Linked DNA regions of Canis lupus familiaris. Each later gene encodes a partner of the first gene's protein in a complex. Links are inferred from orthologs where the notes say so. Each region holds a gene or a part of one and is shown in the gene's direction. Other genes may lie near its edges.

Region 1 (4,231 bases):
GTATTCCCTTTCACTATTATTTATATTCCCCAAATGAATGACAACATACACTGTTTGTCCTTCTCCGCCTGACTTACTTCACTCAGCATAATACCCTCCAGTTCATCCACGTCGAAGCAAATGGTGGGTATTTGTCGTTTCTAATGGCTGAGTAATATTCCATTGTATACATAGACCACAGCTTCTTTATCCATTCACAGTCGATTTTAGAACGAGGTCTTTACCGGAGAAGAAAGCCCTTAACCTCTAGGTGTCTCCCCTCCCCTTCGCGCTCCTCTACCTTCCGGCTCTGCAGAGCTCCCCTTCTGACTTTCGGGGCGGGCGGCGGAGTCCTACACTATGCGCTCCTGTGACCGGCTTCTCTCACTTGGCATCATGCTTTCAAGATCCACGGGGCAGCACAGGAGCCCCTTGAGCAACACCGGTTTGAGCTGCACAGGTCCACTGGAACGTGATTATTTTGATACAGCACCATAAACATATTTTCCCTAATGATGTTAAGGTATTTTCGGGCTATCGTAAGCATACAGTATGTAACACGGATAACACACAAAATATGCCAACTGGCTTCCCAGCAACAGCAGGTCTTGGTAAAGTTGTGGGGGAGCCAAGCCATACATGCATTTTCCGCCGCACAGGTCTGCCCGCGCCGGCACCCGCAGCCCCCAGGTTGTTCAAGGGCCAACTGTACTGCATCCCTTTTTATGGCCGAAGCCAAGCCTGTCAACTATCAGGTCACCATCAGCGTCCTGGAAAGAAACGCGGCGAACGACCGGGTGACGGGCACGAGGGGGCAGTGTCGGGACGCGCACTGGGCGTTACAGTCCGTGCCGGCAAATCGAACTCCAACAAAAGCCTACAGGTATTAAAGAAAAGAAAAGAAAAAAAAAGAGAGGAGGCGAAAGGGGTTTGGAGGACAGGGTCCTCCGGAGTCGGCATCCGCGCGCCTCCCGGCGCCACCACGTCGCCCGAGGGGCCGGGCTGTCCGCGGGAAGCCGGGCCAGCTTTAACGGACGCCTCAGCCGAACCTGCTCGGGGCCGGCACCGGCCTCCCTGCACCGGGGGCTCCGCAGGGGGGATACTCCCGCCACTTCTGCGGGCACGGAACGACGCACCGGCGGCGGAGTCCCGCCCGCGGAGCCCCGGCCAGGCCGCGCCGGTCCCCCCGGTGTGAGCCGCTGCAGGCTCCGACTTTCAGGGGAGCGGACCGCGGCTCCCGCTCCCTCCCGGGAGGCCCGACCTGCACCGCCGAGCGCCACCCGACGGGGCGCCCGCCGCCCCAGCCGCCCCAGCCGCCCCAGCCGCCCCAGCCGCCCGCCGCGCCCGCCGCCTCACCGCCTCCTCTCGCCATCGCGAGATTTCCTGCGTCTTGCGTCCCGAGGGGGGAGTGCGCGGGAGGAGGGAAGGGCGGAAATCCGGAAGTGGGTTCTACCACCTGCTCGGAGCCGGGGTGGGACGGAGGGAGAAAGTAACGCAGTAAGTAGACGAGTTCCTCGTTGGGACGCACTACCTAGAAGCCGTCAACTGAACAGCTCTGGCCAATGAGTTCCATGTACTCTCGACTTGTAGGTTTGAGGTTCCCGCCCGTGTCTTCGAAGTCCCCCCCCCCACAGCTTCCCGAATGATAGAAGTTTCCTAAGGCCTCTGATTCCAGAAGGTACTGTCCAGCGTCAAACTAGTCTCGAGTGAAAAATAAGTCTCAGGCGGCGCGGACTGCGCCTGCGCGCACTGTTGCGCCCTCCCGCGAGCGGAAGGCGTGTGCTCGGTTCCGGAGCGGTCTCCGCCGGTTGGGGAAAGTAAGCGCCGCGGCGGCACCATGGCGTCGGTCGGGACCCTCGCCTTCGATGAATATGGGCGTCCTTTTCTCATCATCAAGGATCAGGATCGCAAGTCTCGTCTTATGGGGCTCGAGGCCCTCAAGGTAACGGGCCGGCCGCGGGCGGAGGCTCGAGGGAGGCGGCCGGGGTCTGCGCCTGCGCGCGGCTGGGAGCGGCTCCGCCATGTGCTCCCGGGAGGGTCGGGCCCCGCTGCGCCCCGGGGCCCTGCGCTCCGCTCTCCGAGCTCGGGCGAGGCCGGCGTACGAGCCCGCAGCCCCCGCGTGGGGGCCGGGAGGAGCCGCGCGCGCCCTCCTGCGTTGGGGGCGCACTTGGGTGTTTGGGCGGCGCGCCCGCCCCCGAGCGCTTCTGCAGCCCCTGCTCGTCGGCCGACCCCGCCAGAGGGAAGGCGGCCACGCAGGACCGTGACGCGGGGTCCGGCAGGCGGCGTGCGGCTGCAGCCCCGTCGGGTGGGGCCAGCGGTGCGGGGGGGGTCCCTGCCTCGAGTGTGCCGCGGGCAGCCTGCGGGGGCGGGGGCGGGGGCGGCAGAGGCAGGCGCGTCGTCGGGGAGGGAGCGCGCAGCCTGCTTCAAGGCCCGCCGCTGCCCGCAGCTGGAAGTTGTGGAACGCGGCGGTCGGCGTGTTGGCCCCGGGAGGACGTGTAGGGCACAGCTGTGCGAGCAGGCGGGTCTGGGGGGCGCAGTCCCGGTGAGGAGGGCATCTGAACAGAAGAGGCAGGGGGAGGTGTGAGGACGGGCCCTCTCTCGGCTGGTGTCTTAAACGAGCGAAGACCCCGTGCAGCCCCCTCGCTGTTGGCCTTAGGACCCGCCGCCCCGCGTCTCTGAAGCTCCTTTGTCCGCGGGGCCGGTGCGCTTCTCTAGGGCAGTCAGCGGGAGGACCGCGTGGCATCGTGGTGTGTACGGCGGCCTCTGCGCCAGCTGTGCCCTTCCCTGCCACCGTGTGCTCTGCTCCTCTGTCACCCTCGTGCTGAGATGGGTATTCTCTTACGGAGTTGGAAACCTGGCCCTGAGGTTAAGAATCTGCTTCAGGGTTCATAGTTCATGGAGACTGGGGCCGTGATTCCAGCCCGCCTCTGGCGGACTCGGGAGCAGTGGTCTAGAGCCAGAGTTCTCAGCATTGGCATTGTTACTATTTGGGGGCCCAGTCATTGTGCGGGTCGGTGCGCGGCATCCGGGCCTCTACCCACTCCATCCGTGCCAAGAGCAGCCCCGGCCCCATTTGTTAGAACCAAAGACAGCTGTCCACGTTGCCGGCTACCTCCTGAGGGACAAAATCGTCCATGGTTAAGAACTGCTGATCTGTGGTGATTATCCTTTTAAAAGTCCATTATGCAGACAGATCCATCAATGTGTGATTTAATGGTTACCACCATTTTCACGGATCCGGGAAGTTTGTGTCTTTCCTTACCTGCCAGATGGAGTGCTGAGGAGGGCTTCACAGAACCTGTGTGTTTGAACTGCTTTGACAGTTGGTCAGGGTTTTGATGAGTGGAGAGCCTCCTGTGGCCCTTACTACAGGGATGGGAGACCATACTTGGGGAACAAGCATGGCCCATCAGCAGTGGGAAGGAACTAGCTCTCAGATTGTGGAGGGCATTGAAGAAGACGCCTAAGCCTTCAGACTTCAGTGTTGAGGCACTAGGGAGTCCCTGAAGCTTTGCCGACTGGCAGGTAACACGTTTGAGGAAGATGGATGAGGTAGCTGGATGTCAAGTGAATCTAAACAGTAGGAAGTGAGATCAGAGACCCTGGACCTCTGTAGGGCGCCGTGGGTCCAGGTCAGGTTGGCGACAGCAAGACTAGGAGCAAAGGAAACATGTGGAGGGATGAGCCTGATTCTATGTGCAAACAGGAGAGGATGCTTGCAAGAGTCTGTTACTGTACTGATACCCTTCGCACATGACAAGCAAGGATGACTTTCACATACAGGTCCTGTATTGGCTGGGCCGGGTCAGAGAGGGGTACGTCTCTGCAGTGCACTTTAGCCGGATAGTTCAGGTTGCTATATACGCACATCAGACTCATCACATAAAGTTAGCATTGCAGAGTGGTCTCGCAAGGCCTGTCCGCTTGGACTGCCTGTGCTCTCAGCTGTAAAATGGGGGCGGGTTAGAGAACCTGCCTCTTAGAAGTGCTGAGTTAAAGTACCAGGTTCTGGTTCTTTTACGTAAGAATGGTCTAGTAAAGATGTAGTTGTGAAGGTTACCGCACTTCTTTAGTGTGTTGCCTCTTAGATGTAGAAGCTTCTAGAGAAGGCAAAGTATATGATTAAATTTTATAACAATCAGATGCTTTTAATTATTAAAATTGCATGTAAGTTGAACATTTGTTTTTTTGTTTGTTTCATTTTTTAGTCTCATATCATGGCAGCAAAAGCTGTAGCAAATACAATGAGAAC
Region 2 (3,620 bases), on another chromosome or scaffold:
CTTGTATAGTTTTATTTTTTTTAATTTGCATAATAAACCATGCATAGTTCTATCTCCAGATGTGTCCTTCTCTCTGGCCTTTTCTAGATTTCACATGTAATAAAACCTCTGCTTTGAATCTCTGCCCATAAGCCTTATGAAGCCAACAAATTAGATGATATTTCTCTCAAGTTAGATAATTTTTATTATGAAGCATTCAGGAGATTTGCAATGTGGAAAGGGTACCTTTTAGTCTAAAGGAGAGGGATCCCTGGGTGGCGCAGCAGTTTGGCTCCTGCCTTTGGCCCAGGGCACGATCCTGGAGACCCAGGATCGAATCCCACGTTGGGCTCCCGGTGCACGGAGCCTGCTTCTCCCTCTGCCTGTGTCTCTGCCTCTCTCTCTCTCTCTCTCTCTCTCTCTCTCTCTCTCTGTGACTATCATAAATAAATAAAATTTTTTTTAAAAAATTTAAAAAAGGAAAGTTTTAGTCTAAAGGAGAGTTGTCAAATAACTTTACTAGAAAGGATTTTTTCAATTTTAAAAAAATTGTTATGTTTATTTTTAAGTAGGCTCCGTGCCCAGCCTGGAGCCCAACATGGGGCTTGAACTCATGACCCTGAGATCAAGAGTGGCATGCTGTACCAACTGAGCCAGCCAGGTGCCCCAAACATGGGAATTATGGTCCCTGTGGGTCCATGGAAAGCCTTCAAGAGGTTCATGAACCTCCCTGAAATTGTACAATGTGGTGTTTTGTGTATTTTTCTAGATAAAGGAGTCTTTAACATTCCTAGGTCTCTTAGAGGCATGTAAGAGTCAAAAAAGATTAAGCACCACTGATTTAAGGTAGAGGTTCCCCAATGCTACTGCCCAGCAAACATCACCTGTGCATGCATGCCCAAGTGATCTAAGCATTTGACTTGGAAAATTACTGAGCATTCTCAAACTATATAATGCTCTCTTTTAAAAAAAATATCACTGAGACTCCTGGGTGGCTCAGCAGTTGAGTGTCTGCCTTTGGCTTAGGGTGTGATCCCAGAGTTCCTTGATTGAGTGCCACATCGTGCTCCCTGCATGGAGCCTGCTTCTCCCTCTGCCTGTGTCTCTGCCTCTCTCTCTCTCTCTCTCTCTCTCTCTCTCTCTCTGTCTCTCATGAATAAATAAAATCTTAAAATTTAAATTAAAAAAATCTCACCAAAGATTAAATGTTACATTTAACTCCCACATTTTAGTTGAATCATCCTCTTGACGTAGCTATTAATATATATTGTTCTTTTTGTAGTGGGGCACCTGACCAAGTTCAGCACATATGAGGATAGTGCACAAAGAGCTAGACTAAAAAAGTACATCTTGGTTTCTGTAGGACTGTCCCATGGAGAGTTGGGTATGTCTGACATCTGTGGTCTCTCCTTGCCCTGTAGGCTCACGGGATGGCTCTATGGGACTCTGGGAGGTGACAGACGATGTGTTGACCAAAAGTGATGCAAGGCACAATGTATCACGGGTCCCTGTGTATGCTCACATCACTCACAAGGCCTTAAAGGACATTCCCAAGGAGGACACAAACCCTGACAACTGCAAGGTCCGGGCTTTGGCCTTCAACAACAAGAACAAGGTATGAGGTCGCCAAAGAGGAAGGCTGTTTCTCTTGCTTCAACTTCTTGGCTTATATCTTGGCACTTTGCTTCTCTTCCCAAGTCAGTTCTTGCTACATAGTTTAGTTCTGAGCCCATGGAAGATTGAAGGCTGAGGGTTGCTGGTGAGAAATTATAACTGAGATTGTGAAACCCAGCCCTTGCGTTGAGTTGTGCAGTATTTCTCTGGAGGGTCTGTATTTGTGGGTCAGCCTCTCAGAGTTACCTCAGAGCCACCTGTTTTTTACTATCTCTCATTTGCACATGCCTTTGCTGGTGCTCTATTTTGGGTGTGATTTTCATAAATCCCTCCAAAAATGATTGCTTTTTCGCTTTGGTATTGTTTCTTTTTATTCTTCACTGCCTCTTCTCAACACTGCCAGCAGATCTTAACCTAATCATTGGGTCATATCTGAAACTAGGGGTATTAAGTAGAATATTGGGATGGAGACTCAGACCCCAAAGAAGAGAAAAGGTCCCAAAATCTGAATCAGGCCACGATTTATAGGGTAGTTGCCTTAGTCTCCTATCTCATGGCCACAATTATTCCTTAGAGATAGATTTAGATCCTCCACTCATAGAACTCTCAAACTGCGATTTATGAAACTGTCCTTCATATGTGTGCTCTACTGTAACTATCCAATGGGATGTCATGGGAATGATAGCATAGTAAGAGTTTTTTGAACCATGGGTGTTTACATTACTGCTAGAACCTGGCTTCCTGCTTGAGTTCTCCCAAGAAGCAACCTTGATTTAATATGGTTTAATAAGGGGATCCCTGGGTGGCTCAGCGGTTTAGCGCCTGCCTTTGGCCTGGGATATGATCCTGGGGTCCCGAGATCGTGGGGTCCCAAGATCGAGTCCCATGTCAGGTTCCCTGCAGGGAATCTGCTTCTCCCTCTGCCTGTGTCTCTGCCTCTCTCTCTCTCTCTCTCTCTTCCTCCTCCTCCCTCTCTCACGAATAAATAAATAAATAAAATAAATAAATAAATAAATAAATAAATAATTTTAAAGAATAATAATGGTTTAATAATAATTAGCTGTCCAGCTACATTTTAGAGTAAGATGATGGGCTGACAATCCCTGGCTCCCCTCCTGGAATCATCATGGGTTAAGAATGAAGAATGGGAGGACCCCAACCTTCAGGGTCTTCCCCTGCTTATTACCATATATTAGTTGCTAGCTATTGAAATATAACCTGTTTTTCATTGCTCTTGTAGGAACTGGGAGCAGTATCTCTGGATGGTTATTTCCATCTCTGGAAGGCTGAAAATACACTGTCTAAGGTGTGATGAACATGACTCAGTGATTTTACCTAAAAATTCACCTTTTGGTTAAAATACTTTCATTCTTCCTGAGCCTTTTTGTTCTTGTCTAAAACACCAGTTTCAGGGCACCTGGGGGGCTCAGTGGTTGAGCATCTGTGGTCGGCTCAGGTCATGATCCAGGGTCCTAGGATCAGGTCCTGTATCAGGCTTCCCTCAGGGAACCTGTTTCTCCCTCTGCCTATGTCTCTGCCTCTCTGTGTCTCTCATGAATAAATAATAATAAGTAAATAAATAAAGTCTTTAAAATAAATAAAAATAAATAATAAACCACTGGTTTCTACTGGGCATGTTACTGCACAGTGCATGGAACCCTGAGTCTGACTTGCCTCTCAAGACTTTTCAAGAGATCAGAGGGGGACATTTTTTCACATTGCAAAAGACTTACTGAGAGACTCCTTTAACTAGCAGTCCTCTAGTCAAGGCTTTTAAGTACCTGCTTATGGAGATGCCTGGGTGGCTCAGTCGGTTAAGCGTTTGCCTTTGGCTCAAGTCATGATCTCAGAGTCCTGGGATTGAGTCCCTCATTGGGCTCCCTACTCTTGGGGAGCCTGCTTCTCCTCTCCCTCTGTTTGCCACTCCCTCTGCTTATTCTTGCTCTCTGTCAAATCAATTAATTAATTAATTAGATAGATTAGATAGATAAATTAATAGTATTTGCTTATGGATTATTGACCATTTG

The links. The genes of interacting proteins can lie anywhere in the genome.
Region 2: the proteins of CCT5 (region 1) and DCAF12 are in contact, whole or in part, in a cryo-EM structure (PDB 8AJM), measured with the Homo sapiens proteins. The link is inferred for Canis lupus familiaris from reciprocal best matches to the Homo sapiens genes CCT5 and DCAF12. Residues at the interface, in NP_036205.1 of Homo sapiens: Gly537, Glu538, Ser539, Glu540, Glu541; in NP_056212.1 of Homo sapiens: Lys91, Phe93, Lys108, His144, Trp186, Phe188, Arg203, Lys254, Arg256, Glu298, Val300, Arg344, Phe411, Tyr422, Leu440, Pro441, Ser442, Gly443.

The regions. Positions count from the first base shown.
Region 1 is NC_049255.1:4,210,435-4,214,665, reverse strand, and holds the start of CCT5 (T-complex protein 1 subunit epsilon), read left to right. Parts: upstream 1-1,331; 5' UTR 1,332-1,335; coding exon of another isoform or gene 1,336-1,351; 5' UTR 1,352-1,476; exon of another isoform or gene 1,477-1,524; intron 1,525-1,569; 5' UTR 1,570-1,816; coding exon 1,817-1,921; intron 1,922-4,187; coding exon 4,188-4,231. Other genes in the region: ATPSCKMT (ATP synthase subunit C lysine N-methyltransferase), read right to left, coding at 1,336-1,351. UniProt on the Homo sapiens protein: Component of the chaperonin-containing T-complex (TRiC), a molecular chaperone complex that assists the folding of actin, tubulin and other proteins upon ATP hydrolysis.
Region 2 is NC_049232.1:51,087,503-51,091,122, reverse strand, and holds part of DCAF12 (DDB1- and CUL4-associated factor 12), read left to right. Parts: intron 1-1,400; coding exon 1,401-1,594; intron 1,595-2,833; coding exon 2,834-2,899; intron 2,900-3,620. UniProt on the Homo sapiens protein: Substrate-recognition component of a DCX (DDB1-CUL4-X-box) E3 ubiquitin-protein ligase complex of the DesCEND (destruction via C-end degrons) pathway, which recognizes a C-degron located at the extreme C terminus of target proteins, leading to their ubiquitination and degradation.